3 linked regions of the Diceros bicornis minor genome follow. The protein of the gene in region 1 interacts with the protein of each later gene in a pairwise test. Links are inferred from orthologs where the notes say so. Each region holds a gene or a part of one and is shown in the gene's direction. Other genes may lie near its edges. The genes, in order: PARD6B, CEP76 and PRKCI.

Region 1 (10,637 bases):
TGCCATGGTTTTATGCCCCAGCGCAGCCCGAGCATCTAGCCTGTACCTGGCACATAGCTGGACCTCACCTATAAATATGTGCTGAATGAATGAATAAATGAATGAAGGGATGTCCTGCCTCCCCATGAGTCCCATAAGCCAGACCATTCATTTTGCCATTTAATCACACTCTTCCCTGCAAGACTCATTAATTTGCTGCCCACAGTGCCTACCTCCTTGGTAGATTATTAAAACACAAATCCGATCCTTTCACTGCCCTGTTTTAAACACTTTAGGAGTCTGCCAGCACCAACTGGAGAAAGCATAAACCCCACCGTGGGCCTTCGGGGCCCTTCTCATCTGAGCCCCACCTACTTCTCCAGCCCCCCCCCCCACGTCCAGAGAAGCCCCCACCCCGCACACGCCCACGGCCCACTCCACGGCTCAGGGAACACACCGTGTTCTCTCCCCGCCCCCACACCTCTCCCTGGAATGCCTCCTCCCGCGTCCCCCTCCATGCCTCTAGCAAACTCCTACTCATTCTTCTGCCCTAGCTCTAACTGAAGTCCCTTCATCCGTGAAGCACTCCAGACCCCCACCCTCCTCCAGGCTGACTCAGTCATTCTCTCTTTTCTGCTCCCACCCCCTTTCGTACCCTGGCCTTAGCACTGAGTAATGGCTCAAAATAGCAGCTGGGGTCTTCCGAGTACTTGCCGTGTGCCAGGCACGGAGTGAGCCTGATCGCTTTCAGTCCTCACCCCAGGCTGCGCCCCAGCCTGGAAGGCTCCCTCATCCCCGCAACCCCTGGCCCCCCACGGAGAAGCCTGGGGATCGCTCTCACCCCCCAGCTTTCCTGAGAGGCCGTCCCTGGCACCCCATCTGAAGTTTTCTTTCTCCTTCCACACCTCAGCCCCGCCCCCAGGCCTCCCCATCCCCTTCCCTGCTTTACTTTCCTGCATGGCTCTTATCACTAAGGCACTACATACCTTAATTAATTAATTGTGTATTCCGTCTCTCCCCCTGGAATGTGTGCTCCAGGAGGACAGCGACTTTGTCCCGTCTTCTTTACGACCGCATCCTCACCATCTAGATTAGTGCCTGGCACATAATAGACACTCACTATATTTATTAATTCAAAGAAGGCAGATAGTGTTACTATCTTCAGTTTTCTCCCAAAAAAATGGTCTTTAGAGAGACTAAGACAGGTGTCCAGAGTTCCACAGCTGGTTGGTGGTAGAGACCGATGTCAGCTCCAACAATCCGGCCCCCCTCCCAACTACAGCGCTCATCGCTTCCAGAAGACGCCTCTGGCAGGTCTGACTTCTCAGCCAGACCCAAGGTCCTTGGAGGCAAGAACTCTGTCATATTCATATTTGTGTTTCCTTGCCTGATGCTTGCTGGTTGCTCAAGGGTATTTGCTGAACCAATCTATGTGTGACCTGGGAAGTGCTGATGGTAGGAATCACATCTTCATTCTTTTATTTTTTTATTATCTTTTATCTCTATGCCAAGGACACTGTTATATACATAGTTGAGGCTTAATAAATACTTATTACATTAATGAATTCTCTTATGGAAGTAGGTAATAAAAATAATTAGGTAACGTTTACAGAGTCCTTACTCTGTGCTGGGTCCTATCCTAAGTGCTTTGTACATGAATAAAGACAATTAATTCTTTTCTTGTCCTCATTTTACAGATGAGGAAATGGAGGCTCAGAAAAGTTAAGTACTTGCCCAAGGTCACACAGCTACAAAATGGCAGAGGCAGGATTTGAATGTAGGCAGCTGGGAGCCACATAATGACTCCTGTAGGCTGCATCTCAGCCCCTGTAACTATGAGGTATCCATTAAAAGGTCACCCTGTGCTAAAACAAGAAGAATGGTTTATCACACATTTCTGTTTTCTTTCAAGGAATTTCTTGAAATTCTACCAAAGGCTTTGGTAGGCAATATTATTTGCTAAATAATAACCACTAACATTCGCACCACGCTTGATGGATTGCAGAGAAGTGTCACGTATAGTTTCTCATCTGATCCCTGCAACAACGCCATGAGGTGGTCAGTACCATCTGATTTTATAGACGAGGAATCTGAGGCTCTGAGTGGTTAAAGGAACAGGGTCAAGGTCACGTAGCCAGCAAGGAGCAGAGCCAGGGCTCAAATTAATATCTATCACCTAAAAAAATACCAAGATCTGAGTGCCTTCAAATTTAAACCTCTTTCATGTTACTTAAAAGTAAATAAAATAATCCACGGGAAAGCACAGAGCACAGTTCCTGGCACCAGGTCAGACCCTCATAAATGTTAGTTAGTTATCATCATTTTCATCAACACCTCCTAGGAACTGGCATATTTCAGCTGATGAGTGCAGCATGTCTGTTGACTCTGATGGAAAGATTACCCTACTCATTCCAGTTCATCCCTGGTAATGTTGAAATGATGATCAATCTCCATTATCCCTGGGGTACCATAGCATGTGAAGAGCTGGAAGGGACTGTGGAGATGATCTCATCCGGTGCCTGCATTTACAGATGGAGACGTTGAATCCCAGAGAGGGCAAAGGTCAAACCCCTCAAGGGCAGGGCTCACGCACAATGCCTGGCACATACTGCCTCCCACGAAGATGAGTTTTTACCTGAAAGGGCATCTAGCTTCTTAAAGGCTCCAGGAGATAATTCTTTAGCACTCCCACCCCACCCCCACACAAAGTACTAACATGTTATAAGCTATTAACCAGAAAATAGATCATGTGACTTAATTCCACCTCTGCAAAAGGGCTTAAAATGCTTTGGTGAGTCGTCTGAGATTCATAAATATACACTTCAGCTCTTTCTCAGAGAATTATTAACCAGCTCCATCAAAAAGGGAACTTGAGCAGTCAAGGAGAAAAAGAGCTGGTAAGAGAAACTTCTTGAAAAAAATCTCACCACTATTATACATGGTTTCTTGCCACCTCTTTCTTTTTTTTTTCCCTAAGAATTGGAGGAGGAAGGAAAAAGTATCATTGTGTAAGACAAGAATCAATAAAAAATAATTGTGGAAAATTACAAACTCTTTCCACTTCGCAAGGTAGATACCGAACAAACACAACAGTTGTGTTACGTCGTAGAAGAATGTAAAGACAGAAAGTATTGAACGGGAAGATAAAGCAGAAATGTCACCCAGACTAGCTTCTTTCAGAGGGTAGAGATGGGCCAGAGAGATCTGACAGTGTGTGGGTGTAATAATCAGTGGCAGCCCATTCCCAACTAATGAGTTTGTGAACCTATAATTTATAGAGTCCATGTCACACACTCACCTTACTCATCCCCCTAACTCACTGAGTATGAATCCTCCCAGGCACGGGACTAGCTTTTCATCCCACACGTAGGTCCTGATCAGCTTTAACTTGAGGATTTGGGGGTGGGGAGGGGTGATGGAGAGAAATGAGATTAGGGTTCAGTCTTCAAACCAAAGAAAGAGGAAGATAAACTCCTCTATGCCATTTCTCCAGGCTTCATGCTTCTCAAGAAAGGCTGAAATTCAGGCCCCGCGAGCAAACTTGTGGCCATAACAGCTCTTGGGATGAAAGGGTTCCCCTCCTCCACAACACCTTTATCAAATTCAAGCTATTTTCCACATTCCTGCCTTACACAACCCAGGCGCACTTGTGACGCAGGCCGAAGAGCAAATTCCGCTCAGGAGATCCAGGAAGCTCTGGTCTGGCCCTCCCTTCTAGAAAGGAAAGTCCAAGTAAAGAGGGATGCCACACCCGGGGGAGGGGAGAGAGGACGTGACAATACCTCCAGGAATGCAGGGCCCACACAGGTGCGCTGGCACCCACGAACTTCCTTTTGAAAAGGGCCTGATAAATCAGTACGGATAACAGTAATAAAGCTCAACCCAACAATCGCTCACATAGAACTGGGGCCCTCGCTCCCAGGGTGTGGCCCCAGCAACTGGAGAGAGGAGGGTGGCAGTGGAGAATACAGATCCCTAAAAGTGGTGACATGGTTCTAGGGAGCGGTTCTCAAAGTGCGGTCCCTGAGGCCTTTTCAGGGGATTCTCAGAGCCAAAACTATTTTCACAATACTAAGATGTCACTTGCTCTCCTGACCCTCATTGTCTCACAGGTATATGATGGAGTTTTCCAGAAGGGACATGATATGTGATATCATCACCCTGATGACTACAGGAATGTGTGCTTGTATATTCTTGTGTTTTACAAATTTTTCAGTTTTAATTCTAATACGATGCATACTGAAAGACATAACACACATAAACAAAATACTTGGGGGCCCTCCATAATTTTTAAGAGTATCAAGGGGTCTTGAGACCAAACTGTCACGCTCCCCCATCACAGGACCACACTTCATTTCCAGCTCAGCTTGAGTCACCGAGCAGGTGCTTTAAACAGGGGGTGGAGGAGGCAGCCTTATTATTTAGCTTGGGGTGTTATCCCTTCCATCCGTACTTCCACCCAAAACAGCCAGAAACACCATAAATTCTCCCACAAACATTTGGTGAACTGAACCACTCAGGGGGAAAGATGGGTTTCTCACCTTTGAACTCAGGTGGGGCAACGTTAGCACAGAGAAACCACACTCCCTCAGCTCCAGCACCCAGCAAAGGCATATCTGAGTACCTGCTGGGAGTCAGGTACCAGGCTACATGCTGACAGTGAGCAAAGCAGATGTGGCCCTCGCCTTCTCAGAGCTTCCATCCTAGGGCAGAGGTGGATGACTCCTGGAAAACATGGGAAAACTGGGACTTGTCACAAGTGCTGGGAAGGAGGGGTGCGAGGTGTCAGGAGGGACGTGAAGTGGGCAGGAGATGAGGGGAGCAAGGCCCTGAGGACTCAGGTGGAAGGCAGCACCCTAACCAGCTCTTCTTGGCCGTCTGGGATTAGAAACCCCGCCCACACGCCCAGGCCCGGCTACAGGAGGGCTCAACAGCTCTGATGAGCGGTCCCACCGGTGAGCCCTTCTGCAGGGTGGGGGGACTTGCGGGTCTCCTCCTCACCGCCCCAGCACGGCCAGTGCTAAACAGGGTCCCTCTGAGGAGGCACTGGGGCATTTAGAGAGAAAGATTTAGTCTTTTGTTATCAGGGAAACGAAGACAATCCAAAGGCTGTTATTGGTGAGAAACAGCAAATAGCCAAGAAAGGGCTAGAGGAAGGGGAGAAGACTTCAGAAGTTAAAAATAAATAAAAAAGAAGAAAAGAAAAACAGAAAGCCCTGGAGGGCTGGTCTAGGAGAAGTCCTCAGGGAAGGCGGACTTGCGAGGAGCGAGGAGCCATCCCGGGCCTCAGCTCACTTTCCCTCCCTTCCAGCGCCCGCTCGACCCCTTGGGACCTCAGGGACGAGACGGAAGAGTGTCTACGGACAAAACCACGCCAGGAGAGCCCTGAGGTTCTCCCCAGTAACTGCTGCAGGAGCGAGAAAACTGGAATTTTGCAACCACAGTTGCAACCAGACGCCTAAACGACGCAAAGGGGTGGTGGAGGAACATTGTTGCAGGCTGCAACAGCCCTAAGTGGAAAGGGGAGCGGGGGAGGCCGGAACCCACCAGCCCCGCCACGTCCCCGCAACCTGCCAGGCCCCGCGTTCCATCACCCAGCCGGGCGCGAGCTCCCGCCGGGACCCGGGCAACCAGGCGCGCGCCCGCGCGTGCGCACAAGGCCCACCCGCCCCGCTCGCCTCCAGGTGCGCTCGCGCTTCCGGCCGGCCGTCCCCGGGCGGAAACCCCACAGCCCGCGCATGCGCTCTGCTGCTAGGTCGGGGAGGAGGCCCACGGCTTCAGGTGATCCCGCCCCTCCCTCGCAGCGCGGGACCAATCGCGCGGCTGTGGGCGGGATTTTCGCGAAGGCGGCCCGCCCACACGCGGCGCGAGGCGTGTATCGATTGGTTGGCGCCGTGGGCGCAGGTGCGCGCTTCCTATTGGGTGTGGGCGGGGCGCGAGCCGCGGAGGCTTCCGCGCAGGCTGCAGGTGAGCGCGCGCACGCGCCGCGGCTCCCGCCCGGCTCGAGTGCGCGCGCGCGGGCTGGCGGGGGAGGCGGCCGAGAGCGAGGCTGCGGCCCCGTGCCCTCTGCCCCGCCCCCTCCTCCTCCTCCGCCTCCGCCCCCTCATCCTCCGTCGCGGCCGCCGCCGAGGCCCGAGGGAGGGAGCCGCGTCCCCGCCCGCCGCGCCTGCAGTCCGACCCTCGGTCCCGCCGCGCGAGGAGCCAGCCGAGCGGAGCTGTGCGCCGAGACCGAGCCGCGGCCGCCCCGCCGCAGGTGCCTGTGAGACGCGCCCGGGCCGCAGCGCGTCCGCCGCCGGCCGCGCGCTCGCTGCCCGCGCTCCCGCCGGGCGGCCCGGCCTCAGCATGAACCGCGGCCACCGGCCCGGGGCGGGCGGCGGCTGCCTGGGCACCATGGAGGTGAAGAGCAAGGTGCGCGGGGCCCGGGCGGGGCGGGGCGGGCCGGCCGGGGGGCCGGGGAGCTGCCGCGGGGTCGGGGGCGGGGCGGGGCGCGGTGGCGCGGCTCGCAGGCGGCAGATGGTGGATGGTGAACTTGCGGAGAAGGGGCTAGGGAGGGGCCGCGTGTCTGCCCCTGCCCGGGTGCGAAGACCGGCGGAGCGCCTGATCGCGGTCCTGGTCGAGGACGGGAGGAAGGGCCGGGGGTCCGCGAGGGCGGGAGGCTTGGAGCGCGGCGTGCAGCGAAAGGTCGGGGGGGTTCTCCCTCCCGGCCTGTGAGTACGAGGTATTGGAAACACCCGTTCCGCAAGATGTTCCCCCTCTCTGGGGTGCGGGAGTGCATCGAGTGGGTCGCCCAGGGACGGAAAGAGCGCTTTTAAAGTTAGCTTTGCCTCTTGCTGGGGATTTTTCTAGCACTAACTTTGGTATGCATTTAATCTAGAAAATTAACGCTATCGCCTTTCCTTCGAGTAGCACTTTACAGTTTGGGTCTGGATGCTCTTTTCATTCCATCCTGCCACCTTTTCACATCAAGTGTTTTCATTCTAGGCCAGCGGTATGCCAATCTGCTGATAATTACGTCGGTATCTACTGAATTCCTAAATTGCAAGGCTGTCTGAGCAGGAGGATAGTCTGTGGGGATTAGTTCGGGAATGCTTTCCAAAGGGGGTTTTGAACTGGAATTTGAAGGTGATCGGCAGCCACGGGAACATTTTCAGTGAGCATTTCATGAATTGAAGAGCCAGAGGGAGCTTAGATAATCTAGTCTGTTTCTCCAAGAAGACAGAGGCTCAGAAAGGTTATGACTTAGCCAAGCTCTGCTTTTATGATGAAATCTTAAAGCCTTTTTTACAGAGTAACTTTTAGGCGTATAGAATACAAAAGAGAGGACATTGGCTGGGCCCTGAAAACATTTGAAATAGAGTTGGGAAGACCAAAACACATAAAAGAGTAGGAGAAAAGTAAAAGCATATCAGCTTCAAAAAATGGAATATCATTGAATGTGTACTTAGGGAGAATGCAAAATCAAGGAGTGATTTTAAGTGATAGAGTAAAGCTCCCCGCAGCCTGTGGTAGAATGGTTTTTATTATCTGGAATTGATAAGCAAAGTTCTGTAAGTTGCTGAAACTGAGATTATTCCTTCCAGAATATCTACATTCATTTTTAACATCATTTTACAGTGTTGTTTGCAACTTAACTCATGTATCAGGAGAGGCAGTAGTTTCAGAACCCATTCGGTTTAATAAGAATAGAAATGTAATGATAGCAATTTAAGCAATATGCTCTGCCCTGTGTCCTCTGTGGAACTGCCATAGCAAATTGAAGTGACATCGTTGAACTGAGAGATAAGATGACTCAAAATGTATAGAGGTTTTCCCTTAGCAGTGTAGTGGCGGTAGTGGTTCCATGCCCAATAGTTGAGCCTTGTCGTGGCATTTCTGTAATACATTTACTTTGGGCTTGTGGGAGTTGAGGTTAAGAAAAGAAAAACACTTGTGATATTGCGTAATCTTAAAATTCAGTTTGTGGTCCTAATCTTGGTAGTTAAGCCTCTAATTTTTTTATCATAAGAAAACATGAGTAGGGATTTTAGGTGCACTGATTAATACAGTCAAATAGTAATTTATCTCTCAGACTAGGAAACCTTGAGCACTTGGGGACTGGAATTGCAGGCTTTCTGCCCTTCTCTTCTGTCATCTGATCTGTGAATATTTCCCATACTTATGTCTAAACTACATGTTATATATTTGACCTGCCATACTGCGCTTTTAGTGAACCATGTCTTGTAAGAGAATCAAGGCAGTCTGAGAACCTGCACCGAATGAAGTGTGGTCCCACTGTTCTAGCTGTTCATAAATAGGCTCAGTATACGTATTGTTTCTAGGGTGTCTGTGATACCTCACGTTCGAAATATATATTGTTGATACATTTATTTTTAGTGGATTAAATGAAACACTTGTCATCTTGACCATTTGAAATACTTGGTCAGATGTTGGAAACAGTATTTCCCTTTTCACTGCTTTAATGATGTCACAAGCTTTTTACAAAACTGGTGGCTAAGAGATCGTAACCACAACTAGGTGATGTGCAGATTCACATTTCAGAATCTCTTTTTCTTCTGTAGAGAAAACAGTAGTATGAACTTTATTATCTTTGCTCGTGGAAGGGGAGATGGTACAAATAATCAAAGTAATGGATAATGCAGAAGTAACTATAGTTAAATTGTGATACCAGCTACCGTGTCACTTTTCTTTGGTAACTGATTTATCTTGTTTCTCTTGAGTCGGGAGTTCTTAATCAATCATCAAGGTGGTGTCCTTTAAGAACCTTGGAACAGTCTTTGAGCTGTACGTTTCCTAATTATTTTTCCTGGGCAAACAGGATATTCAAATAAAGTTTGCATTTCTACAGTGTACCCACATCTTGGGAGAAGGGTGTCCATACGCATTCTGGGTGGCCAGGACAAACTAGACCAGCCTAAAAAAAGTTGTAAATGGTTTACATAGTGAAGAATTGTTGATTGGGTCTTAATTTGATCTCTCTCTTCCTGTTTTTCTTGATGTAGTGAAAAGTTCTCTTCATCCTCTTGTTGTGCTACAAGAAGCATAACAATTTCTCTTGTTGTTTTTCTGCTAACGTTTGCTAAAGGGCACATCTACGGTGAAGCCATACAGTTTTCCATTGTTTCTATCATAACATTTAAGCAAGAGAAAAAAATGCTGAGCAAAGAATTTTCATCCAGAAGCTTTAGCAAAAGCATTGAAGCCCAGAATGTTCAATTATTAGATGTTGCTCCTGTTTATGTGTCCAGGGAAGTGATAAACCCTGGGATGAATCAGAAAGCCCTCAGAACTTGGTGATGTGATACCAGAATAAGGAAAATGGAGGAGAAACTATGACTTTTGATAACATCATAAGACTAACTCTGATAGGAAGGGTGTTCCCGAGTTTTTATTTACTTTGAAACGTGAAGGTGTGACTAAACTTCTTGGGCGATTTAGGTATGAGTCACCTTATTTTCTTGACAAATGTTAGTGTTTATAATTCAGGAATGTGTTTTGGAATCTTTTAATTATTTATTAGAGGTAAGAGGTGGGTTTAGTGAGTTTTAATTTTAATTTAAAACTGGTGAGTTGTGTGGGTATAAGCAAGGCAGATGGACTTAGATACAGCAAAAGCAGTGAGTCCAGATGTCCCGGAGGGTCCTTGGGAAAATGAATTGACATTTGTAACCTGCTCAGGTTATTCTGATAGGGACTTTCCCTGCATGATGCTTAAGGCTATCTTAGTGGTACATTAGTATTTCTTGCTAATAATAGATATTTAGAGGGAAAATGAGTTTAGTGGTCAAACACACATGGCAAACATTTGTTTAAAAATTCTTTTTAAAAAATCCACCGCAGGACTTAACCAAGCCTTTGATATCTGGTCCCCACAGTGATTCCTAGGCGTGTGGTTATAGTTATGTAGCATTTCCCAAACTTATGTGACTGGGACGCTTTTTGAGGAAGGCTGATTAACCTGTCTGAGGTTTCTGCATTTGAGGAAATGCCATGCTAGTCCCACGGTAAGTCACAGATCCTGTTTGTTATGGACTAGATGAAGCCAGTCCTTAGTGTCGAGTAAGAGCCACTTTAATAATTCGTCATTTGGAGAGCAGAGATGTGATTCTAGAGTAGTAAGGCCGACCTGAGAATCAGAATTGTGATGATAAATATTGGCCATGATGGAGGTGCTATCATCTCTGTTTATGTGATCCTTTAATACCTCACTGAAGTAATTATTCCCTTCACCCACTAATTGGTGAGCTTCTGTGCAGGCCCGAGCCTTTCAGTCTCTAGGGCCTAGCACTGTGCCAAGCACATAAACACTCCTTGTGTTAATTGGGTGGTTGGAGGACATATATTTGATGTATTGATAAAGCTGCTTTTTTCAGCACTAACACAGAGAAGATGCTTCTCATCTCTAGACCTATTTCTTATATGGTGTACTTCCATTTTCATCGTAGCCTAATACCAAGAAGCTCAAAGTCCTTTTTGTATATGTTGCTGTTCTTTCTTGCCATTTCCTGTGAAATCGTAATTGCCTTTATGGGGGAGGAAACTTAGATGCTTTTTGCTAACGGTCAAAATCAGATCTTGGGCACGTCTGCATTCCCCCGCGATGCACTGAGTGAGGAGAGTGCTGCTGTCGGGATCCGAGCCCCAGGCAGGGTTTGAGCTGA
Region 2 (10,980 bases), on another chromosome or scaffold:
TACTACAAAGACAAGAAAAAATGAAATAACATGATAGTTAAAATGGAGGAGTTACACAAGTGAAATTATTAATGATAAAAAATTAAGATTGAATTATGAGACTTTTATATCTAAATATTTTCAAAAATTAAAATATAGAACATATGCACTATATCATTTGGTTAAAATAAAACATATTAGAAGTACCTTAAAAGGCATCCGTGGGCTTTATTCTATGAAATATTCATTTCTGAAAAGTTAACTGTAAGAAAATATCAAAAATTATTTTTCTTCTGACTTTGATTGTAAAACCAGAGAAGTATTCCCCTGGAAACTTCTGGCATTATGACGAATAAAATCATTCTTAAGAATGTTTTGGGGCCGGTGCCATGGCTTAGCGGTTAAGTGCACGCGCTCCGCTGCTGGCGGCCTGGGTTCGGATCCCGGGCGCGCACTGACACACCGCTTCTCCGGCCATGCTGAGGCCACGTCCCACATACAGCAACTAGAAGGATGTGCAGCTATGACGTACAACTATCTACTGGGGCTTTGGGGGAAAAATAAATAAATAAATAAAATCTTTAAAAAAAAAAAAAAAGAATGTTTTGGTTTCTCATATTCTCCCCTCTTCTTTCTAGAGAAATTTTCTGTGAATCAATGTATATGCATTTTTTCTGGGAAAAGGATCTATAATTTTCATTAAATTCTACAAGGGGCCCACTTTACTGATGCTTAAGATGTTCCTGCCCAACTTCACCTCCAAGAATGAGAAGCTCTGATATGAACCAAAGACAAAATATAGAGTCTCTAAGGGACACATGATTAGGTCATTGTGCTAAGGGGTAAGCTTTTAGTACTATAAAAAGATTACAACTAACCCCAGACGCAGGCAAATCCTTTGGTGGATCATGTCTCTCCTGTTACAGGTCTTTTGGGGAATGTCCCCCTGGACTGCTGTGGTGTGGTGTGAGGTGACTGGGGGCTACGAAGCATCAGCAAGTCTAGTGACCACTATGTATGTTCAGGGCAAAGGAGGCTAGAGCAGGAAGTTTAGGCGTTAGGGAAAAGGGACTAAGGCACAGGCCACTCAGGCCTCTAATCTATCTCTGACATACACATACAACAGACCTAGTCGGAAGAGGATATATCTGTAGGGAGTGGGCAGGCTAAGCTTTAAAATGTAAGATACACCACCTTCTATAACAGTAATACTCATCTTCTCCATCAGTGTATCATGCACTTCTTTTTTGTTATTAACATCCTGTTTCCCAGTACTTTTTCTTCTGATGTGATGCAACATCACCTCTCACGTAGTCCCACCAAAAATATTTAGTTTTTATCTAATCAAGGCTTTAGACCTAACTCCAGTTACATAAAATACAGGGACCAGAAGAACAAGCCAAATGACACCAGAAGGATGTAATCAGACAAATGCAGAAAGGGGGACATTCTATAGGACAATGGGTCCAGTTTTTTCTTCAATAAATCAGTTTTGTGAAGAAGGAAAAAAAAGAAAGAGACTACTCTAAAGTAAAAGAGACTTCAAAGGCACAACAATCAGATGTACTACGGGTCCTGGTTTAGACAAGCTAACTCGAAAGGACATTTTGGGGTGAAATGGGCCAATCTGAATATGGATAGGATATAGGAAGATATTAAGAAATTGCTAATTTTGTTAACTGCGATGATATTTTGGCTATGTAAGAAAACATTCTTAAAAGATAAGAGATGCACACTTACATATTTGGGGGTGGAATGACATGATGTCTATAATTTACTTCAAAATACCTCATCTTAAAAAGAAAAGGCAGATTAAAGAACTATACCCAACTGACCTGCTGCCAGTTTGTGTCAGAGGAAAGCCGGGGGGTCCATTAGCAGGGTGGGGTGGTGCTTAAGAGGCAGGGCTCAGGGGCCAGACTGGCTTGAGTAGAAGCTCAGTTACACGAATTATTAATCACATGGCCTTAACTTGTGTCCAATGGTTTCCTCAACTACAAAACTACCTATGGAGTAGCAGTGAGGATTAAACTAATCAATACATGTAATTACACAAGATGGTCAGCTGATAGGAAATACTCAATAAATGATAGCTGTTATCAACAGTGAAAGAATGTAAATTCTAGTTCTACCATTTATAGTCCTTATCCTTTAAGAAATAGCTGAAATTCAGTCTTGTGTTAACAAAGCCATCTGTCCTGCAGGAATTTCAATATTAAGGTTATTTCTTGAAAGTATATTTCATTATCGCAACCTAATGACATGGTTAATAAAACTGACAAAAAATAAAACGCTTCTTCACTTGTCTTTAACTCCACCAATGGTTTTTCATGTTCCTCTATCACTTCTGGCTTTCACCTTAAAATGGTAAACAGAAGACAGAGAGGCCAACAGAGCAGTCAGCCATCGAATGAAGTGACTGATGCTCCTGGGCTTCAGGATCAACAGCTTTTCCCCTCACTCGGGGCAGTCCCACATCGTACACACAGTGGTCAGCGCAAAGGAAACTGTTCCCTGACTAACGAAGCTTGCTAGTCCAATGAGGAACTATGGAGATTTATGGTGTGGGAAAAGCATACACCTACTAGTAGTAGTAGGCAATTCAGTCTCTCTGAGCCTTACTGATACCATATTATTATGGATTCTATAAGAATGTGAGGGATGACTATGAGGCTTAGATGAGGCAGCACATATTAAACTCACAGGACTGAGCCCAGTGGAATTCTCTTTTCCCCTTTCCCTGGTATAGGTCATGCTTACATGTGCCAGTGGGAACAGAAAATAAAACTGAGGATAAAAGGGAAAAAAAACCCATGTTAAAAAATTGGAACTCTCAAATTCTACCCAAAGATACAAGTACAATCTCATCCCTCATAGGAGTTGCCATTTAGAAAAGGCTAAGAACTAAAACCAGGATGTAAGAGAATAGGACAATGTGACTGTATTGCAAATTCTGCACAAAACTGGCACTAAGTAATGTTTGCTACAAAACAGTATCTGTAGCCTCTATTTCTAATTTAAAACAACTCTACCTTGTAGTAGAATAAAACATGCAGAAGTCTTACATACCTTCAGCATTTGTACTGAGTTCTGTTGAATTTTCTTCTGCAGTTGCATACGGATTGTTTCCAACCATCGGCACAAGACAATCGGTATAGAAGTAACCAATCTTACACATACTCAGTGTAGAAATAATCACATCTACTGCAAGCTGGCCAACATTTCCAACAGACACAGCTGGCTGAAATAATAAAAATATGTTAAGTCATCAAAATTAGCAGCACTTTTAAAAGTTTAGACAGAAGACAGTAATCACAGCACTAGAACTGAACGCTTATGCTCAGGCACGTCACAGCTAGATACCCACTCTTTCATTAGCTGCAACTGAGGTGTCAGCAGGGCCTCCACCATCTTTGACACTATTGCTTTAACACTTACTGATGACCTATTATGTGTCAATCATTGCTCTAGGCACTGGGAATGCAGTAAAACAAATTGACAAAAGTTCCTGCCCTTGTGGAGTTTCCATTCTAGTGAGGGAGTGGTTTACTGTAAAAAACAAAATAAATAGTAAAATATACAGTGGTAAGTACTATGGAGAAAAATTAAGCGAGTGAGAGTGTGTGTTATGCGGTTGGTTGAAATTTTAAACAGAGTGATCAAGGAAAGACTCACTTCACGCGACAAGTAACTATGGACCTGCAAGAGGTGAGGGAGGGAGCCCCACAAAGACCAGGGAAAAGACTATTCCAGGCGGTGGGAAAGCAAGCGTAAAGGCTGTGAGGTATGAACAAAAGTGCTCTTGGGTCTTCTTTCCATTTGCTTTGTTAGTGCCTAAAGGTTGGAGTGAGCTTCTTTTCACACTAAACACACACACACACACATTTATCCCCATGACTTAAAGGTGAACTCCAGAGCCTAATGGGTATCTCCACATGGTTACGTCACAGGCAACTCACATTCAACATGTACAAAACCAAACTTTTATCCAAACTTCTTCCCATATTTTGTATTTTGTAATTCACCCAACTACCTAAACCAGGAACCTTCTTCCCTTTCCCTGACCACCCACATCTAATACACGACTAATTTTCCTTGACTCGCTCTTCACTGCATCTCTTTAATGTAGCGCCTCCTTTGCCTTCTTCCAGCAATTGCTTCTTTTTTGGCCTTCATCTTATTTTTCTGGGTCCCTGAGAGTGCTCTCTCACTTCTCACTGCTGTCACCTACTAATCCCCTGGTTCTCTCCTGTAATTCCCTTTCCTCTTCTCAAAGATTTTGCTGCTTTGGGTAGACCCTCACTCTCCTGTATCATCCATCTTTTCCTCACTATTGGATTCTTCCCGTCAGCATATACAAACGCTCTAATATCTTTCCTTCTAAAAAACTCTCCCTTGATCTCACATACCCCCTTAGCTACCACCTTACTTCTCAGTGTCCCTCCACAGCCAAAATTCCCCACAGCTGTCCACTAAAACATATGCAGGAGCTTTATCTCTGAATTAACGAGTGAATACGTACACATACACATCTCCACCTCTTCTCCCATTTATTCAACACAGTCCAGCGTGGCTTCCCTCTTCACCACTCCACTGATAACTGTCAACATTACCACCAATAATCTTTGAGACATTACTTTCGCTACGAAGCTTCCAGGTATCTCCCGCAAACATACTTTTTCCCTTTTGTGATTAATACATATGTTTCAGGGAGATACTTTGAAATGATGTAAAATTTTCTTCCTCAGTACTCTATTGCACATTATTTTTGGAATCATTGCTATTTCTTGTGTGCATTACTACAATGAAAATTGCCAAAAAGTGATTTTTCAATTACCATCACTTTTTTTTAAGTTGAGCTATAACTGACATATAACATTGTATCAGTTTTAAACACACAACACAACAATTTGATACACACATATACTGTGAAATGATTACCACAGTAAGTTTAGTTAACCTCCATCACCACACATAGTTACACATTTTTTTTTCTTGTAATGAGAACATTTAAGATCTACTCTCTTAGCAACTCTCAAGTATATAATACAGTACTGTTAACTATAGTCATCATGCTGTGCATTACATCCTCAGGACTTATTTGTAACTGGAGGTCCGTACCTTTTGATTACCTTCACCCATTTCACCCAACCACCCCCACCCACTCTGGCAACCACCAATCTGTTCTCTGTACCTACGAGTTTGTTGCTTCTTTTTTTTTTTTTTGAGATTCCACATATGAAGCTTTTCTTAACAGGTCCTTGTGACCCTCTTCCTCCCAATACATCTTAGGGCCTTTCTATATCCTTCTCAAATTTCTAGCTTAGCATTTATTGCCCTTATTGATTTACATGTGTTTCCAATTAGACTGCAAGCTTCTTGAGCACAAGGACCTAGTCTTATTCTAACATTTTCACATAACAGAATGTTTATTAAAACAATGAATGAATACGGGTAATTTTAAGAGCGATAAAACCGTGTGTTTACTAGCAAAACTTACTTTTATTACCCTATCTGTAGTTTTATGGTTAACGACGATGATTTGCTAGCTTAAGAATGACTCTAAAATTAGCTGAAAAAAGATTTCCTAGGATAAAACGTAAAGACAATGACCCGCACAACATATGTACAACGTATCTGTCACATCCAAACACATTACGTTCTACAGTCAACAAAGACTACAAACCGCAGACTTAGATACGTTTGGTGACAGCGCCAACAAAGGTTCTATTCGGACCGACGCCTCCAGCCACATCCTCCATATGTTTTCAGCGCAAGCTGAACACCTGGAAAAGAAACAAGTACTCCTCCAGGGCCGGGTGAAGCACCCCGAGTCGGGAAACAGGCGCCTCCGGAGGGGCAGCAGCCCCCAGCCGGGCAGTGGAGAGTTCGAGAAACCAGGGACTCACCATCAGGAGAGTGAAACCCGCGAAGTCGGGAACCGATTCTCCGCAGGGAACAAAATGGTGGTCCCGAAGTCGGAGGAACGGAGAAACCACGGGGGAGGAAAGAAAACGAAAACCGCAAATTCAGCACCGTGCCCCCGCGCGGAGTCCCCGGAGCCCCACGCGACGCGAGTGAGGCGGGGCGGGGCCAGGCGGGAGGGGCGGAGCCAGGCGGGCGGGGTCCTTCGAGTCCTTGGGCGCGGGGTCCTCAGGGGCCCGTCCACATACTTGCCGGTCCAGAGGACAGAATTGGACCCCGACAGGGTGAGAGTTGGGAGCGGGCGGCGCATCTGGAGACTCTGGCAAGGCAAGATGATGGGGTGCCCTGAGGTCGCGGGGTGAGGACCCCGAGGGAGGGGCAGCTGCGGGCGGAGATGATCAGGCAGAGCGAGGGACAGTCCCCAGGCTGGTTGTCCGCCCCCGTTTGAAAACAACAGTTGGGCACCTCCGCCGCCCAGCTCGCACTTGACGCGGCGTCGCGCCCCCGGGAGCTGCGGAGGCGAGCGGTGGCGCCGGCTTTGTGCTCAGCCACGACCAGCGCTCCGGGGCGGGTCGGGGCGCCTGAAGTGGGGAGAATTGGCGGCGAGGCGCCGGCTGCAGCATGTCCCTGCCCCCGGAGAAAGCCTCCGAGCTGAAGCAGCTCATCCACCAGCAGCTGAGCAAGGTGAGGGCAGCGGGCGCGCTCTTGCCCGCCGTGTGGCCTGAGCGCCCGGCCTGGCGTCCCTTGGCCCGGCCGACGGCGGCACCTGTTTGCCGGGGACTCGAGCAAAGGCTGAGACGCGGAGCGCGGGATGCGCAGAGCGTCGGGTTTGACGCCAGAGGAACTTTCTAGTCTCGGTGAAAGAGCGAGCCCAGAAAGTGCCAGTAAGAGTCTGAGGTGATGGAGCGGTGTTAGTGTCGTAGGACAGTGTGGAAATGAAGCGTTTATCGGGGATTTCTGGAAGTCAGGTCGAGTATAAGTTGTGTTTGGAGCAGGTTTATATTCAGAGGTGGGAATTAGAATTACTTTAAGGGTGAACCTTGCCGTGTCGTTGAAGTTGAAACAAATCAGCAGTTCTTAAGTCATGAAAGAGACGTTACTAAAGGATTTGTAATGAAAGTATTTGTGACCCTTCGGGGCTCAGGAAGAACGTTGTCTTGGAGGCGCTCAGCTGAATGCAGTAAGCTGCTGTACCACGAACTCCGTGTATTGTGCGCTTGTTTGCCGACTTTTGTGTACGCCTCACAGTCTTGACAGGGCACTGTTATTTCCCGATCCATAAAGGGTAAACAGGTTAACTGGAGGTCACATCTAGTAAGTTGAAAGCTGAAATTCATACTTTGATTGTCTTCTCCAGGTTTGTGTTATTTTGATTATACAGTATTCTCTCTCCAAAGATTTGTTTTGGTTGAGTGTTATTTGTGGGGAAATGGTAACGAGGGTAGTAGATAATCAGAGATTATTTCTAGAATTTGTACTAAAAAAAATTCATCTTTAAAAAATTTTTTCTTTGGTTTTTCCTTTAAAAGATTTTACCTTTATTCTCATTGAATTCTGGTAACAATTTTACATTTACTATTAGCTTAAGAAGCTTTCCTGAATTTAGTCTGTGTACTCTCCCATTTTTTTCTTTGAGTCAGTATTTTAGAAAGAAATTACCTAATTGGCAATATTTGATTGCTTTGTAATGTTGTAAATTGTAATGCGAGTTTTCTGCATAGATGGATGTCCATGGCAGAATAAGAGAAATCCTTGCTGAGACAATACGTGAAGAATTGGCACCTGATCAACAACAGTTATCAACAGATGATTTGATTAAAGCCCTTAGACGTCGGGGAATCATTGATGATGTGATGAAAGAACTTAATTTTGTTACTGTGAGTGAGCTTTTAGGGGAAAAAATTTGATAGTATAAGTGTATTCTCATGCTTAATGCTGGTTATAGGGTCTATATTTGGGGCCTCTCCTGTTAGTAAAACCACTTTAGAATAAGACCATTTTGTCTAGTAATATCTTTGAAGTATAAGCTAATTCTACCCTTGAATGTAGCAAGTAGGATTATGTATCAATGAAATTGGGGTTATGTACCATTTTCCTTTCTTTACAGTGACAGAATTTTCTCTTGTTATTCTCTAGGTCTATAACTTTAAGTATATATATTTTAGTCAAATTAGTTAGCCATAACCTAGTTCTTTTTCACTAGTATTGTTCTATAATTTTTTAGATTAAGCTTATTTTAAAAATAAATACACTCTTTTGGAACTATATTCTCTGTGATTAACAAATTATCAGTTTCTCTAAGAAAATAATTGTGTAAGAACCTTCAAATCTTTTCACACAAATAGGTCAGTAGTGAGATGGTAGCCTCTCAGTGCACAAATTAGTAAGTAGGCCTTCTTTTGAAAATGAGGCAATAATTAGAAACTGTGACCTCAATACCTGGGTAATATAATGTAAAAATTGGATGGACTTCATAATACGCCAGGGAATAAGTATTTTAATACAGCATCCTTTTTTGGTTTGTGACGTTTATAAACCCATTTGTTAAAAAATTGACCTAGTAACAGCTTCTGCTGTGTGAACGTCACTTCCTTATTAAAATCAATTCATGGTGGAATCATAAGCCAAATGTTATATGAGGTTAGAGAAAGTTTAACTTCGTTTAAGGTATTAAGGATTTGTTTTTAGCATTCCATGGACATTGCTGGAAGTCAACTTAATTCCTTAATATTAGACTTTGGGAGTGACCGGCTGCATCATCTTTTTTGCAGGCTTTTCGTTATTTTAATAATACTAGGAAAATAAAGGGTTTTTTGAGGGGCTTTAGCTTATCTACTTGTGGTTCAGTTCTAAGTCCCATTATTAGCATTTCCTTGTTTAACTATAATTTTTGTTTTTAACTTGTTTTGATTTTTTTCTGCTTTTTTAGGACAGTGTTGATCAAGAACTCCCTTCTTCTCCAAAACAACCTGTTTGTTTTACTGATAAACAGTCAACGTTGTTAAAAAAAAGTATGTGTATTTCTTGTTAACATTAATTTAGTTGTGGATAGTACTGTGGATAGATGTGGTGTAGTGTTTGGTATTTGATAGAAAGCATTTCAATTTTTTTCCCCAGAATGAAATACTTACATTTTTGTGACTAATCATCAAAATGTTTATTTGCATGAAGTATATCAGAAGATTTAATATATAGCAGAGTGGAAGCAAAAATAGGACCAGCTGTTTCTCGTGTTTTAATAATATATTTTATAAAAAGTATATGGCCTTGCTTTTTTAGTGGTAATATAATTGTCTAAGGACTATACTTGCTGAGTTGATAATTGTCTGAGTTGGTTTGTGGAGGTGAAGGAATGTTGGATAAGCAACTAAAAAGCAAAGGTATCCTAAACTTTTGCTCTGACTCCTTTCTAGCTGAGAGAAAGTAGCCAGAATGTAAACTCAGAAAAAGAGATCATATTATGTATCTTTCCTTCCCTGGGTGCAAATGGTCCTGATATATAGTAAATTTTTTGTTATTCTTTTTGTTTTTTTAGTCTTTGTTTTGTTTCTGTCCAGTTATTATTTCCTGTTGTCTTGATCACATTGCTTAAGATATTTGGCCGTTTCCTCATATATATTGCTACACTTTACAGCTAATATTGATCCAACACGGAGGTATCTTTACCTTCAGGTTTTGGGTGGAAAAGCTTTCTTGGAACATCTGCAAGAACCTGAGCCTTTACCCGGACAAGTTTGTTCAACCTTTACTTTATGTTTACATTTTCGAAACCAACGTTTTCGTTCTAAACCTGTTCCCTGTGCCTGTGAACCAGATTTTCATGATGGGTTTTTACTTGAAGTACACAGAGAAAGCTTAGGTAAGGAGCCATAATAAATTGTCATTTAATTGAGTAAATCTTTGTTATGTTTTGTTGTGGAACACCTATAACAACTTTTATTGTAAGGAGAGATTTATAAAGGATGAATCTCCCTAGTCTTTTATTTTTTCCCTCACTGCTCTTTTGTATATAAACTACTTCTATGCACCTTCTTGCTTTATTTTCTGCTAATTAGTTTCCTTGAGGATTATTTTTTGACTGTTTTAATGGTTGGTTCTTTAGTAATAAACATTTAAATGCCTATTGGGTACATGGTACTATGCTGGGCAAGTGCTGGGGATATAGTGGAGAATGAGACGTGATCCTTCTCATTTATGAAAGATAGCTAGATTTATGATGTTCTGTAACTTTTAAAAATCAAAGCTTAGATGTGAATTTATAACTCCCATTTTTATAACTTTAAAATTGTGATACTTGATTCCTGTAATTGTTTTACACTGTTTCTTTCTATAAAGGTATTTTATACATTTTAGTTGTCAATATAGAAATCTTTATATTTGTAAACTTAGCAAAGTTGTAGAATTATACCTTCAGAATTTTAGATTACTAAGACGGCTAATGCACTACCACAATCTATTATTCCCCCCACCACCCCTGGTGAAAAATATTACCCTAATAAGGCAGTTTATGACTTAAATTGCTAGCTCCAAGGTGCTGGATCTTTCAGTTTTGTGTAGATAATACAGTGATTATTTCCAGAGGTTTAGGGATAAAAGTAGTTTGGGGATTAATGTTGACCTAGTTGAAGGCTTTTTATCGTAGTAGCATATACTTTAGTTAAGTACTTTTAAAGAGCAGACTTCTCTCTTAGAAAACACTGATATGCATTAAGTAACTAGATAACTTGTCACAATTCTACCAGTCCTCTCAAAAGTTAGTGATAGAAATAGGACTGTACTTTTAATTTCAGTTGTTGCACGCTTTCTGAGATATTACCAAATTATTCTATTTGGTTTTGTATAAGTTTATTGGTAGTATCCTTTTCAGTAAAAGAATTTTTAATGTTGCCTAGCTGAATATGTAATATAGTGTAATTTTTTTTGGTTTATGTTGCTAGGTGATGGAACTAGAATGGCTGATTCAACAACAATGTTATCAATAAGTGATCCAATTCATATGGTGCTAATCAAAACAGACATATTTGGTGAGACCACTTTAGTAGCATCCTATTTTCTTGAATGGCGATCAGTTTTAGG
Region 3 (11,125 bases), on another chromosome or scaffold:
GGGAGGGAAATGGAGTTAGGGTGACAGTGTGCATGCCAAAGCTACACCCTCTGAGGAGACACATCAGAGGCTGCACACTGTAGGGGAAATAGACTTTACTGAACTAGTCTGGCCAAGTCACTAAACAAATAAACAAGCAAACAACAACAACAATGACAACAAGCCCTGGAACCAGTCTCGATCAGTCTCTGGTATTGCTACAATGGATATGTATAGTTTGCAACAAAAAATTAAGAGTCATAAAAAGAAACAGGCAATTGGGACCCATACACACAGAAACTGCCTTTGAGAAGACACAGATGTTGGACTTAGCAGACTAAGACTTCAAAGCAGCTATTATACAACTAAAGGAAACCACGCTTATGAGTATAAATTCAAAATTCCTCAACAAAATATTAGCAAAGTGAATCCAGCAACATATAAAAAGGATTATATGTTATAAGCAAGTGGGATTTGTCCCAGGATTGCAAGGTTGGCTTACATCCAAAAGTCAGTTAATGTAACATATCATACCAATAGAATGAGAGACAGAACCACGATTATTTCAGTAGACACTGAAAAAGCACTAAAAAAAATCCCAACACCCTTTCATAATAAAAATAGTCAATAAACCAGAAGTAGAATGGAATTTCCTCCACCTGACAAAGGGCATCTACAAAAAAATGTAGAGCAACCATTACATTTAATGGTGAAAGACTGAAAACTATCCACATAAGATTGAGAATAAGACAAGGATGTTTACACTCTCTTCTTATTCAAGATAGTATTAGAGGTCCTAGCTAATGCAATCAGGCAAGAAAAAATAATAAAAGGCATCCAGATTGGAAAGGAAGATGTAAATCAATCTGTCTTCTAAAATGGCATAATCATGTATATAGGAAATTCTAAGGAATCCACCAAAACACTATTAGTACTAATAAAAGAGTTCAGCAAGCTTGGAGGATACAAGATATATGTAAAATCAATTGTATGTCTATACACTAGCAATGAATAATCAAAAATGAAATTAGGATGGGAATGTAAATTGGTGCAGCCACTGTGGAAAACAGTATGGAGGTTCCTCAAAAAATTAAGACTAGAACTACCATATGATCCAGCAATCCCATTTCTGGGTATTTATCTGAAGAAAACAAAAACACCTAACTTGAAAAGATATCTGCACCCCCATGTTCATTGCAGCATTATTTACAATAGCCAAGACATGGAGACAACCTGAGTGTCCATCAATGGATGAATGGATATAGAAAAGATGGTATATATACACAATAGAATATTATTCAGCCATAAAAAAGAAGGAAATCCTGCCATTTGTGATAACATGGATGGACCTTGAGGGCATTATGCTAAGTGAATTAAGTTAGAGAAAGACAAATACCATATGATTTGCACTTATATGTAGAATCTGAAAAAAACTCTGAACTTATAGATACAGAGAACAGATTGGTGGTTGCCAGAGGTGAAGGGTGGCGGGGCGGGGGTGAGAGAAGTGGGTGAAGGTGGTAGAAAGGTATAAACTTCCATATATAAAATAAATAAGCCCTGGGGATATAATGTACTGCTGCGTGGTGACTATAGTTAATGATACTGTATTGTATATTTGAAAGTTGCTAAGAGGTAAACCTTAAAAGTTCTCATTACAGGAAAAAAATTTGTAACTGTGTGGTGATGGATGCCAGCTAGACTTATTATGGTGATCATTTTGCAATATATACAAATATTGAATCATTATGTTGTACACCTGAAACTAATATAATGTTATATGTCTATTATATCTCAATAAAAAAATGAAAGTAAAAAAGATCTTGATGCCCAGGACCCCACCCTGAGGTTCTGTTTCAAATGGTCTGAGATGCTCCCCTACCACCACCAACATAGCTTGTAAAAGTTGTCCCGGCAATTCTCATGTGTAGCCAGAGCTAAAAGCTACTGATGTCAGAACCATTTTCTGTACTTATAGGCTAAATCAAATTCTAAAACCTCATGAAATTAACATACTTCAAAGTAATTATATCTCAAGCATTTTAGGATTCCAGGCTATAAAAGAGTAAAATGCTCATTTAGAATGATTGAATGAAAAAATTAAAGAGAAAAAAAAGAAATTAAGAAAACAATTCCACTTATAATAGCATCAAAAAGAATAAAATACTTAGGAATAAGTTTAACAAAAGAAATGCAAAACGTTTACTCTGAAAACTATAAAGGATTGTTGAAAGAAATTAAAGATCTAAATACATGGGAAGACATCTTAGGTAGGAAGGCTATATACTGTTGACATGACAATACTCCACACAATGATCTACAGATTCAACGCAATCTCTATCGAAATCCCAGCAGGCTATTTTGAAAAGATTGACAAATGGAAATATAAGGAACCCAGAATAGTCAAAACAATTTTGAATGAAAAACAGAGTTGTAGGGGCCAGCCTGGTGGCACAAGCGGTTAGGTGCGCGCGCTCTGCTGCGGCAGTCCGGGGTTCGCGGGTTCAGATCCCAGGCGCGCACCGACGCACCACTTGTCAAGCTGTGCTGTGGTGGCGTCCCACATAAAGTGGAGGAGGATGGGCATGGATGTTAGCTCAGGGCCGATCTTCCTCACACACACACAAAAAAAAACAGTTGTAAGACTCAAACTTCTCTGTGTTAAAAGTTACTACAAAACCACAGTAATGAAAACAGTGTGATTCTTGCATAAGGTTAGATATATAGATCAATGGAATAGAATTGAGACTTCAGAAATAAACTCTTACATTTTGGTCAACTGATTTTTGACAAGGGTGCAAGAGAATTAAATGAGGAAAAAATAGGCTTTTCAACAAACAGTGCTGGGACAACTGGATATCGACATGCAAAGAAATGAATCTGGACCACTTACATTACACACAAAAATTAACTCAATATAGATCATAGACCTAAATGTAAGAGTTAAACTATAAAACTCTTAGGAGAAAACATAGATGTAAATCTTCATGACCTTGGGTTAGACAAAGGCTTCTTAGACATCACGCCAAAGCATAAGCAACAACAACAACAAAATAGATAAATTTGAGTTCATCAAAATTAAAAACTTTTGTGCTGCAAATTATACCACCAAGAAATGAAAAGATATGCACAGAATAGGAGAAAATATTTGAAATCATCTAACAAGGGACTTGTTTCCAGAATATATATAGAACTCTTACAACTCGGTGAAGGAGACATATCACCCAATTTAAAAATGGCCAAAGAATTTAAATAGATATTTCTCCAAAGGAAATACACAAACGGACAATAAAAACATGAAAAGATGCTCAACATCGTTAGTCATTAGGGAAATCCAAATCAAAATCACAATGAGATACCACATTCCCAACCACTAGGATGGTTATAATGAAGAAGACAGGCAATAACATGTGTTGGCGAGGATGTAAAGAAATTGGAACCCTCATACACGGCTGGTACAAATGAAATGATGCAGCCACTTTGGAAACAGTTTGGCATTCTCTTAAGATGTTAAACATAGAGTTACCATATGACTTAGCAATTCTACTCTTAGGTATATATACCCAAGAGAATTAAAAACATATTTCACACAAAAACTTATACATGAATGTTCATAGCAGCATTAATGTGGAATACCCATACAATGAAATATTATTCAGCCATATATAGAAATGAAGAACTAAAATATGATACAGCATGGATGAACTTCAAAAACATTAAGCTAAGTAAAAGAAGCCGGTCACAAAAGGCCACATATTCTATGATTTCATTCATAGGAAATGTCCAGAATAGGAAAATCCATAGCGACAGTAAATACATTACTGGTTGCCAGAGGCTAAGGAGAATGGGTAGTTGCTGCTAATACATGTGTAGTTTCTTTTTGCCAGGGTGAACATGTTCTGAAATTAGATTGTGGTGATGATTGCATAACTTTGTGAATATTCTAAAATCTATTGAATAGTACACTTTAAATGAATGAATTGTATGTTATGTGAATTATATCTCCATAATGCTGTTAAAAAAATTAAGCTCATGCTTTCCCTGAGCTTTCATCACTTGGAATACAAAAACTTATTTATATGGTGGGATTGATGCAAATTATCAATATTTACAGATTCTTATTGATGACAAAGTAAGCAATAAGCCTCCTCTGAAAACAATGATTACTTTCAAAGAATGCTACGAGGCCAATGCTGAAGGATTTTTCAAACTTCTAAGGAATAAGAATCCAAAATAAGCTTTTCCTGCCTTGCCTTTCTTTTTTTTTTTTAATAATTTTATTTATTTATTTTTCCCCCAAAGCCCCAGTAGATAGCTGTATATCATAGCTGCATATCCTTCTAGTTGCTATATGTGGGATGCGGCCTCAGCATGGCTGGAGAAGCGGCGCGTCGGTTTGTGCCTGGGATCTGAACCCCGGGCCGGCAGAAGCAGAGCGCGCTCACTCAACCACTGAGCCACGGGGCTGGCCCCATGCATTGCCTTTCTAAATTCTTACTTCCCGTATAACATAAATTTCCTTTTCTAGAGGATTATATAATCTTTCAAATTTGTCACAAGCATATTAAATTTTCCATTAATCCAATTAAAATTTCACAATCCCACTTTAGAAATAGTTTATATTCCACAGTTAATTCGTATTTAACATGCTGATGCAGATCCTCAGTTGCCAAAAACCTTGATACCAAGTCTTCCAATGGAATTTTTATTAAGAGCGTATAATTCAAGTTTATAGCAGTTGAAGGACATCCTACCAGGCTGCGTCACACATAACTCCAATGAGTCAATCCCCCACGCCTAAAGAAAGTTATTTCTTTGATTATTCCAACCCTTTTAGTATGTGTTGGTACCAGGACTGATGCAGGGGCTGGATTCACGCTACCTGTACTTGCAATATGTGACAGAGCCAAGACCAGTGGAACGTCAGAGACTAGGCTACAAGGACGGATGCTTTATAATCCTTGGGTAGCCGGTGTTAACAGAAAAAATGATGATGGATGGATGGATGGATGAATGATTAATTGAACAAATATTCATTGTGCACCCGTTCCATGCAATGTCAACATACAGGGGCCTAGATATGGGGGCTGCGAAGGAAGAAAAGTCAGTCTTCCATCATATCTTCTAGTTGAGTTTCCTCCTTTATTACATTCATTATTACATTTGTTACATATATTATGAAATTCTTTCCACAAAAGAAGCTGTGCTGAGCAGGTAACCAAATTCTTGTTCCCCAAAAAGGCACTGTATAATTGAGATGATTTATGCAATCGGAAGGGATCAGAGAACAAAGTCTAGAATGTGACAAAGCCCAATCATTTCCAGTGACCTCAGACGCCCAGGCTGGATTCAGGATTTCCACGCCGACGGCTCCTAGGGCGCAAGGTGGAGACAGACTCTGTCAGCGAGAAGGCGGGGCGCTCTACACGTAAAGATCCTCAAGTCCCAGAATCCCACGGAAACTTCAAATCCCAGAAGCCCACCGGGCAAATCTACTCGGAGTGCCAAGTCGGCTGACCGCGGATGCGACCAAGTTAGGAAACTGGGGTGAGATGCCGCAGTGTTTGTCCCCTACCATTTTCCCTGCGGGGAGGGGGCTTTTTACAGAACTATAGTTACCCGAACCTTCGCGTTCTCTCAGTCACAGCTTCCACGAAAGGCCCCCTCCCGCGTGTTTGAATGACAGTGAGCGTCTCCCGTTCTCTCCTCCTTTTCTTGCCCCCCGAATGAATGGTTCAGCCGGACATGAGGCTCCTTGAGTGGGATCGATGGTTGCGCCCGCCCTCCCCCGGAATGTGGGCCTTTGGAGCGAGCCAGGTGGGAGGGACCGGGGCGGGGAGGCGTGCTGGGCCCGGGCGGCGGGGGAGGCAGTGGCGGCCGCGGGCTGTGGGAGGAGCCGCGCGGTTCCGGCTGCCCCGGCGAGGCGACCCTTGGGTCCGCGCCGCGGGCGGGGAGGACAGGTAGGTGAGCGGGCAGCCGCGGCTCTGGGAGAGGCTCGGGCAGCGGAGTCCCTCACGGCGCTCGGCGCGCCCCCCGCACCCTCGGCCTCCGGCGTTGAGGCGGGGGGGGTCAGGAGATGCCGACCCAGAGGGACAGCAGTACCATGTCTCACCCGATCGCGGGCGGCGGCAGCGGGGACCATTCTCACCAGGTCCGGGTGAAAGCCTACTACCGCGGGTGAGTGTCTCGGAGTAGAGGTGGGGGGTAGGGGTCGGGGGAAAGGCCAGCTGGACTTAGCCTGGAGGAGGGGAGCATGAGGGGCTGGAGATGTTGTGGGCGGGTTGGTGTGGGCGGACGACTCTTGGGACTTGGGATGGGTGACCGGGTGGTCGAGGGAGCAGCATGGGGTGCTGGATTGGGGCACCCCCAAAGTATGGTGCAGGGCTCCCGGGAGTCGCGTGGCTGAGGGTCCGGAGTAGGGTCCGAGGGAGGAGCCTTGGAATAGCGTAGGTCCACCTGGTGGATTCGAGCGACTTGCCTACTAACAGATTTACAGGGCTTTACGTCCTTAAATCTGGGTGTATTTGGGGTTGAGAGTTGATTCCGAGTGATGCCTCGGTTAACTAAGTTTGCACGCTGGGCTTAAAAGACAGGACTGCTTCAGTTTCCTGGTCCTTTTGATTACCAACAGGCCTAAAACTTCTGGTTCTCTAAGTCAGGTTTATCTTCATCGCCTAGATTTCACGAAGTGTATCTGGACTGTGGTCAGGCTGCCAGTGTATTAGACATAGGCGTTATTATTTAAGCGTAAAGCTGGTGCGTTTTCAGGGATGTGCATTCGGTACTTATGCCTCGCCACGATTAGGTTCCGTATGTATAAATTAAAATTTTGTGAATGCTTCTTTGTCAGTGTTGCTTCAAGGACTGCCCGATAGAGTGAGATATATTGCATGGGGAGAAGAGGACGAGCCTCGGCACAGTTTTCAAATCTGTGATCCTTACTCATATCATTACCTAAGTTATAACTCCTGTGGTTACCAGAAATAATCCAGTCCTAAAATCGTTGTATTAAATCATATTCTGTAATCAGTGACCTGAAGTGTCCCCCTTCCCTTGAATTCAGTTATGGTTTGGAATTTATTTGAGATAATTATATTTGGGAGTATTAGAAAGGTGAAATGTTAGTGTGAGCATAAAGGTTTGAAACTAAGGGTTAACAAAACCCCACGGCTTTGGCCTGTCTTACTGCTTGTCCAAGCAGAAGTAAATTGTTTTAAAAAACTCAGGCACTAGGAGGTTGAAACTGCAGTGCATACTTTTAAATTCCTGAGAGGATCAGTGAAGATAGCACACTTTCAAAATGCCTCTCTTGTTTTGATTTCAAAGAAAATATAAGCCCCTAAATGTCTTATTGATTTGATGTAAAGACTTACTAGTTTGCTGCTATGAAGCCTCTGACCCTGTTTATCCGCTTGATTGTATTAGGAGTAGTTTATACGGGTTATTTTGGACAGTATCAGTGTTCGGGTAAATTGATCAAAGAGGTCTTGATTTTAAAACAATACCAAGTAGCGTGTGTATGTTTTTTAAAAGATTTTAGTTGTGACAAGAGCTGTTTTGACTTGAGGATGGTCAGCAATGAGCTTTGCACCAGGGGAAAAAAGCTTTGCTTTTTTAATTTGGTAGGTGAGATATTTCACTCTAGAAAGTGTTCCATTCTATAAAGATGACAATTCGGGCCGGCCCCGTGGCTTAGTGGTTAAGTGCGCGCGCTCTGCTGCTGGTGGCCCGGGTTCGGATCCCGGGCGCGCACGGACGCACTGCTTGTCTGGCCATGCTGAGGCCACGTCCCACATACAGCAACTAGAAGGATATGCAACTGTGACATACAACTATCTACTGGGGCTTTGGGGGAAAAAATAAATAAATAAAATTATTTAAGATGACAATTCATGAGTTGTTAGGTATGGAGAATGAAATATAGTGCATGTTCTTTTTTTTAAGATTCCTGATTCTTGACAGTTTAAAAAACTAGATTAAAAAATGAATATACACACAAAGTAGGAAAGTGCAAATTGTATAGGAGTATAAAATAAGAAGTGTCCCTCATCTCCTCCTCCCAACCTCCAGAGATAACTACTGCTGACAGTTATTTCTGGTTCTTCTGGAGGTTTCCTTCATTACTTTACAAGTTATACTTCTGTTTCATGATTTATCAACTTTAGATAGTATCTATTGATTCCTTCCTCTGAGAGATGAGAAATTGGGTGGACACTACCTTTTGCTTCCTCTCCTTCTGGTGCCTCTCAATTTTTGATTGTTAAACTCTTATTTTTTAGTTCTCCGGTCTACTTTTATGACTTTAAATAATATAAATTCTTGACTTATAAAATTTAGATAGTTTCGGATGATTCCAACTATGAAAGATGAAGAAACCAGTCCTTCTTCCCTTTTTCCCATTTTTATTAGCTTGACAAATGTAAATAGGCCTAGTTAGTAAATGAAAATCATTGTAAGCATTTCCTTTGGAAAGAAACCAAAGTCGGCTTGCTATACTTTAGGAATGTAGGTATCATATTTTCTTGGCTTATTGCCCTAATTATTTAAAAAAAGTGAATAAGGGCATAGAACCCTTTTAGTGCTTGACTAAAATTTCTCCAAGACATTCAAGTTTACATTTTCTTTGTTTTTTTAAAACCTATGAATTTTTGCTAAGAAATGAAAGAATCAATCCCTTGCTCTTTAGTGCTTTTTAGTCAATGAAAGCTTTCTAATAGTGCTTTCATTTCAAGCCTCATTTAAGGACAACATCAGCACTTTGTAAATTGTACCGATTTCTGTCCTCTGAAATTAGATCTGTTAAGATTATATGTTTATTAACAATAGTCTAAACTGATGGTTATGATATTACAGAGTCAGCTGCTCATTACTACAGATGAAACTAAAATGAGTCAGCACTGAGGATAGGTAATAAACAGGTTGGCTACCTAGATCACCTACCTGATTTGAAAATAGAAAATTCTTCCTTTATATCAAGAAATGTAAGGACAATCTGCATTTGAAAAATTTTCCCTCAGATCTTCTGAATGGCCATTTTCAGAGAGCTTTCCCTTTATCCCCTTCTAACAGTATTTCTTTCCAGCAAATGTTTAATCTCGGAATAGCCAGAATATTTTAGTGAATAAATTGCCCTCTCCTTTCAAAGATGTGTATAGTGTTCTCATTCTGTTAAATTTGTTCTTAGTGCAAATGTGCTGTCTCCGTACATATAATAGACATTTAATTAGATTTTTTCTAGTTTTTAAGCAGGAGATTAACAGCACTGAGAGTCTGATTTTATTGGAGACCACCTAAGAGTGCCTGTCTCACAGCCTGTACCCTTCTTTCTTCGCCACCAGAGCTTGTCAGTGAGTGGCCCGCCTTCTTCAATCATTACCTAGTAGTGTTAGTGTGGAGGAAGAGAAACAGGTTCTGTTGGTTAGTGATAGATTGCCATTGTATGTGCTTATCCTTATATAAAGTTACTTGATATTATGGGATAGAATTTCACAAGGAAATGTCTGGACTCTTCATTTCTTGACATTATAAATGTATGGGAAATTTTGCAAAAAACTTGTAAAAATGCTTTTTAAACCACTATTGAGCAGTTATAACAATCCAGAAGATTCTTTCTGTGCCATTTACAGATAAAAGGAGATTGTTAACTCTTTGCACATTTGGAATGTATAGCTGGTTCAGGGAAGAAGTGTGAAGGATTTTTCTCACTGTGAACAAGTCTTGGCGAGACTTGGCTTTAAAAGTATTGCAAAATAATTTTAGCAATATACTTTAGTAATTGTTCTAAAGAAATAAAAATAGTATATTGAGTTGCGAGTTGGGGGAATGTGAGCTGTTGGTCCTGGAACTTCTGATATGGCACCTCACCATAGGGCAGCTGATCCGTAGCTTTACCAGAGAGAGAGAAAGAACATGATGGCCTGGTGCCAGAAACCAAAACCAAAACAACCCTCTCAGAAATTTGGATTAGATAATATGGAGATAAATTGCATCTTAGCAGTGAGGACTGAAGCCGCAGAGTTGAGAGAGAGGCTGGTGAAGCCAGGGCTGACCATGTGCAAACTAAAGGAAAAAGAAGCAGCACTCTACGAAAAAATTCTCCCTAGAGGTCTATGATAGCTTTCTAACACAACTCCCAACCCCCTTTTTAAGGTAACTTGAGTGTTTGTTTTTCTGTGGTTGAAATGAGCCGTTTAATTAAAACATGAGTTTTTACAATTCCAGTCTTGCTTAAGATTTCACATATTACAAAGTGTGTTTAAACTCAGTTTAATAAACACTTAACTGTAAGCCCGGTGCATAGTGCTAGGGTGGGCACAGAGGCTGTAGAGGTGGATAATACAAGGCTCTGCCTTTGAAGAACTGGGAGACCTATGGGAGGAAAGACATAGAAGAGTTAACAAAGGTGTGTGTGTGTGTTCATGTATAAGGTACATGCAGGGATGGATGTTGGGGAGGAGTTTGGGGTGAGGGAAGCCTTCCTACAGGATGAAGTGTTGGAGGCTTTTCAAGGATAAATAGGTTTGCCTGGTGGTTAATGCTGTTGGGTGGGGGTTCATTCCAGGCATTGTACAACTGCCTGATATGTTTGGGGAATTAAGATCAGTTTAGTTGTTAGTCCCGTATTCATTCCTTCTTAGGACATAAAGTGTGAAGAGTGGGCACTGATGAGAAGTGAGACTAATAAGAAGGTTCACAGATGACCTAGTGGTCATCAAGATTCTTGAATATCATACTGTGGACTTCAGACTTTTTCTCATTGGTGAAAGTTTTATCTAAGAGAGAGGCAGGGTTAGATTTTCATTTTAGAAAGAACACTCTTGGACCGAGTGTGGGAGATGAATTGGCGATGGATGAGACTAATTTGGAGGCTTTGGAAGTAGTCCAGGAGAGAGATTCTAAGGAGATAGAAAAGAGGGTATAGATTCAATGGTGATTTTAGGGGATAGAATCAGTATGAATTAGAGACTGATCGCCTGTAGGGAAGAGGGAGAGAGATCTGTCAACTTGTAGTTTTTCTTATTTGAGAGAGACTAGGGAATATAGAACTGCCCTGGTGGTGTAGTGGTTAAGATTCAGTGCTCTCACCACCACCACCTGGGTTTGTTTCCTGGTCAGGGAACCACACTACTCGCCTGTCGGTTGTCAT

What was found.
Region 2: the proteins of PARD6B (region 1) and CEP76 interact in binary tests that used the Homo sapiens proteins (3 or more experiments, as listed by UniProt). The two-hybrid records come from large-scale screens. The link is inferred for Diceros bicornis minor from reciprocal best matches to the Homo sapiens genes PARD6B and CEP76.
Region 3: the proteins of PARD6B (region 1) and PRKCI interact in binary tests that used the Homo sapiens proteins (3 or more experiments, as listed by UniProt). The link is inferred for Diceros bicornis minor from reciprocal best matches to the Homo sapiens genes PARD6B and PRKCI.

What each region holds. Positions count from the first base shown.
Region 1 is NC_080758.1:11,469,713-11,480,349, reverse strand, and holds the start of PARD6B (partitioning defective 6 homolog beta), read left to right. Parts: upstream 1-6,102; 5' UTR 6,103-6,321; coding exon 6,322-6,387; intron 6,388-10,637. UniProt on the Homo sapiens protein: Adapter protein involved in asymmetrical cell division and cell polarization processes. Probably involved in formation of epithelial tight junctions.
Region 2 is NC_080755.1:10,839,356-10,850,335, forward strand, and holds the start of CEP76 (centrosomal protein of 76 kDa), read left to right. Parts: upstream 1-6,314; 5' UTR 6,315-6,525; coding exon 6,526-6,588; intron 6,589-7,625; coding exon 7,626-7,781; intron 7,782-8,833; coding exon 8,834-8,915; intron 8,916-9,538; coding exon 9,539-9,763; intron 9,764-10,841; coding exon 10,842-10,980. UniProt on the Homo sapiens protein: Centrosomal protein involved in regulation of centriole duplication. Required to limit centriole duplication to once per cell cycle by preventing centriole reduplication.
Region 3 is NC_080754.1:51,657,122-51,668,246, reverse strand, and holds the start of PRKCI (protein kinase C iota type), read left to right. Parts: upstream 1-5,875; 5' UTR 5,876-6,055; coding exon 6,056-6,156; intron 6,157-11,125.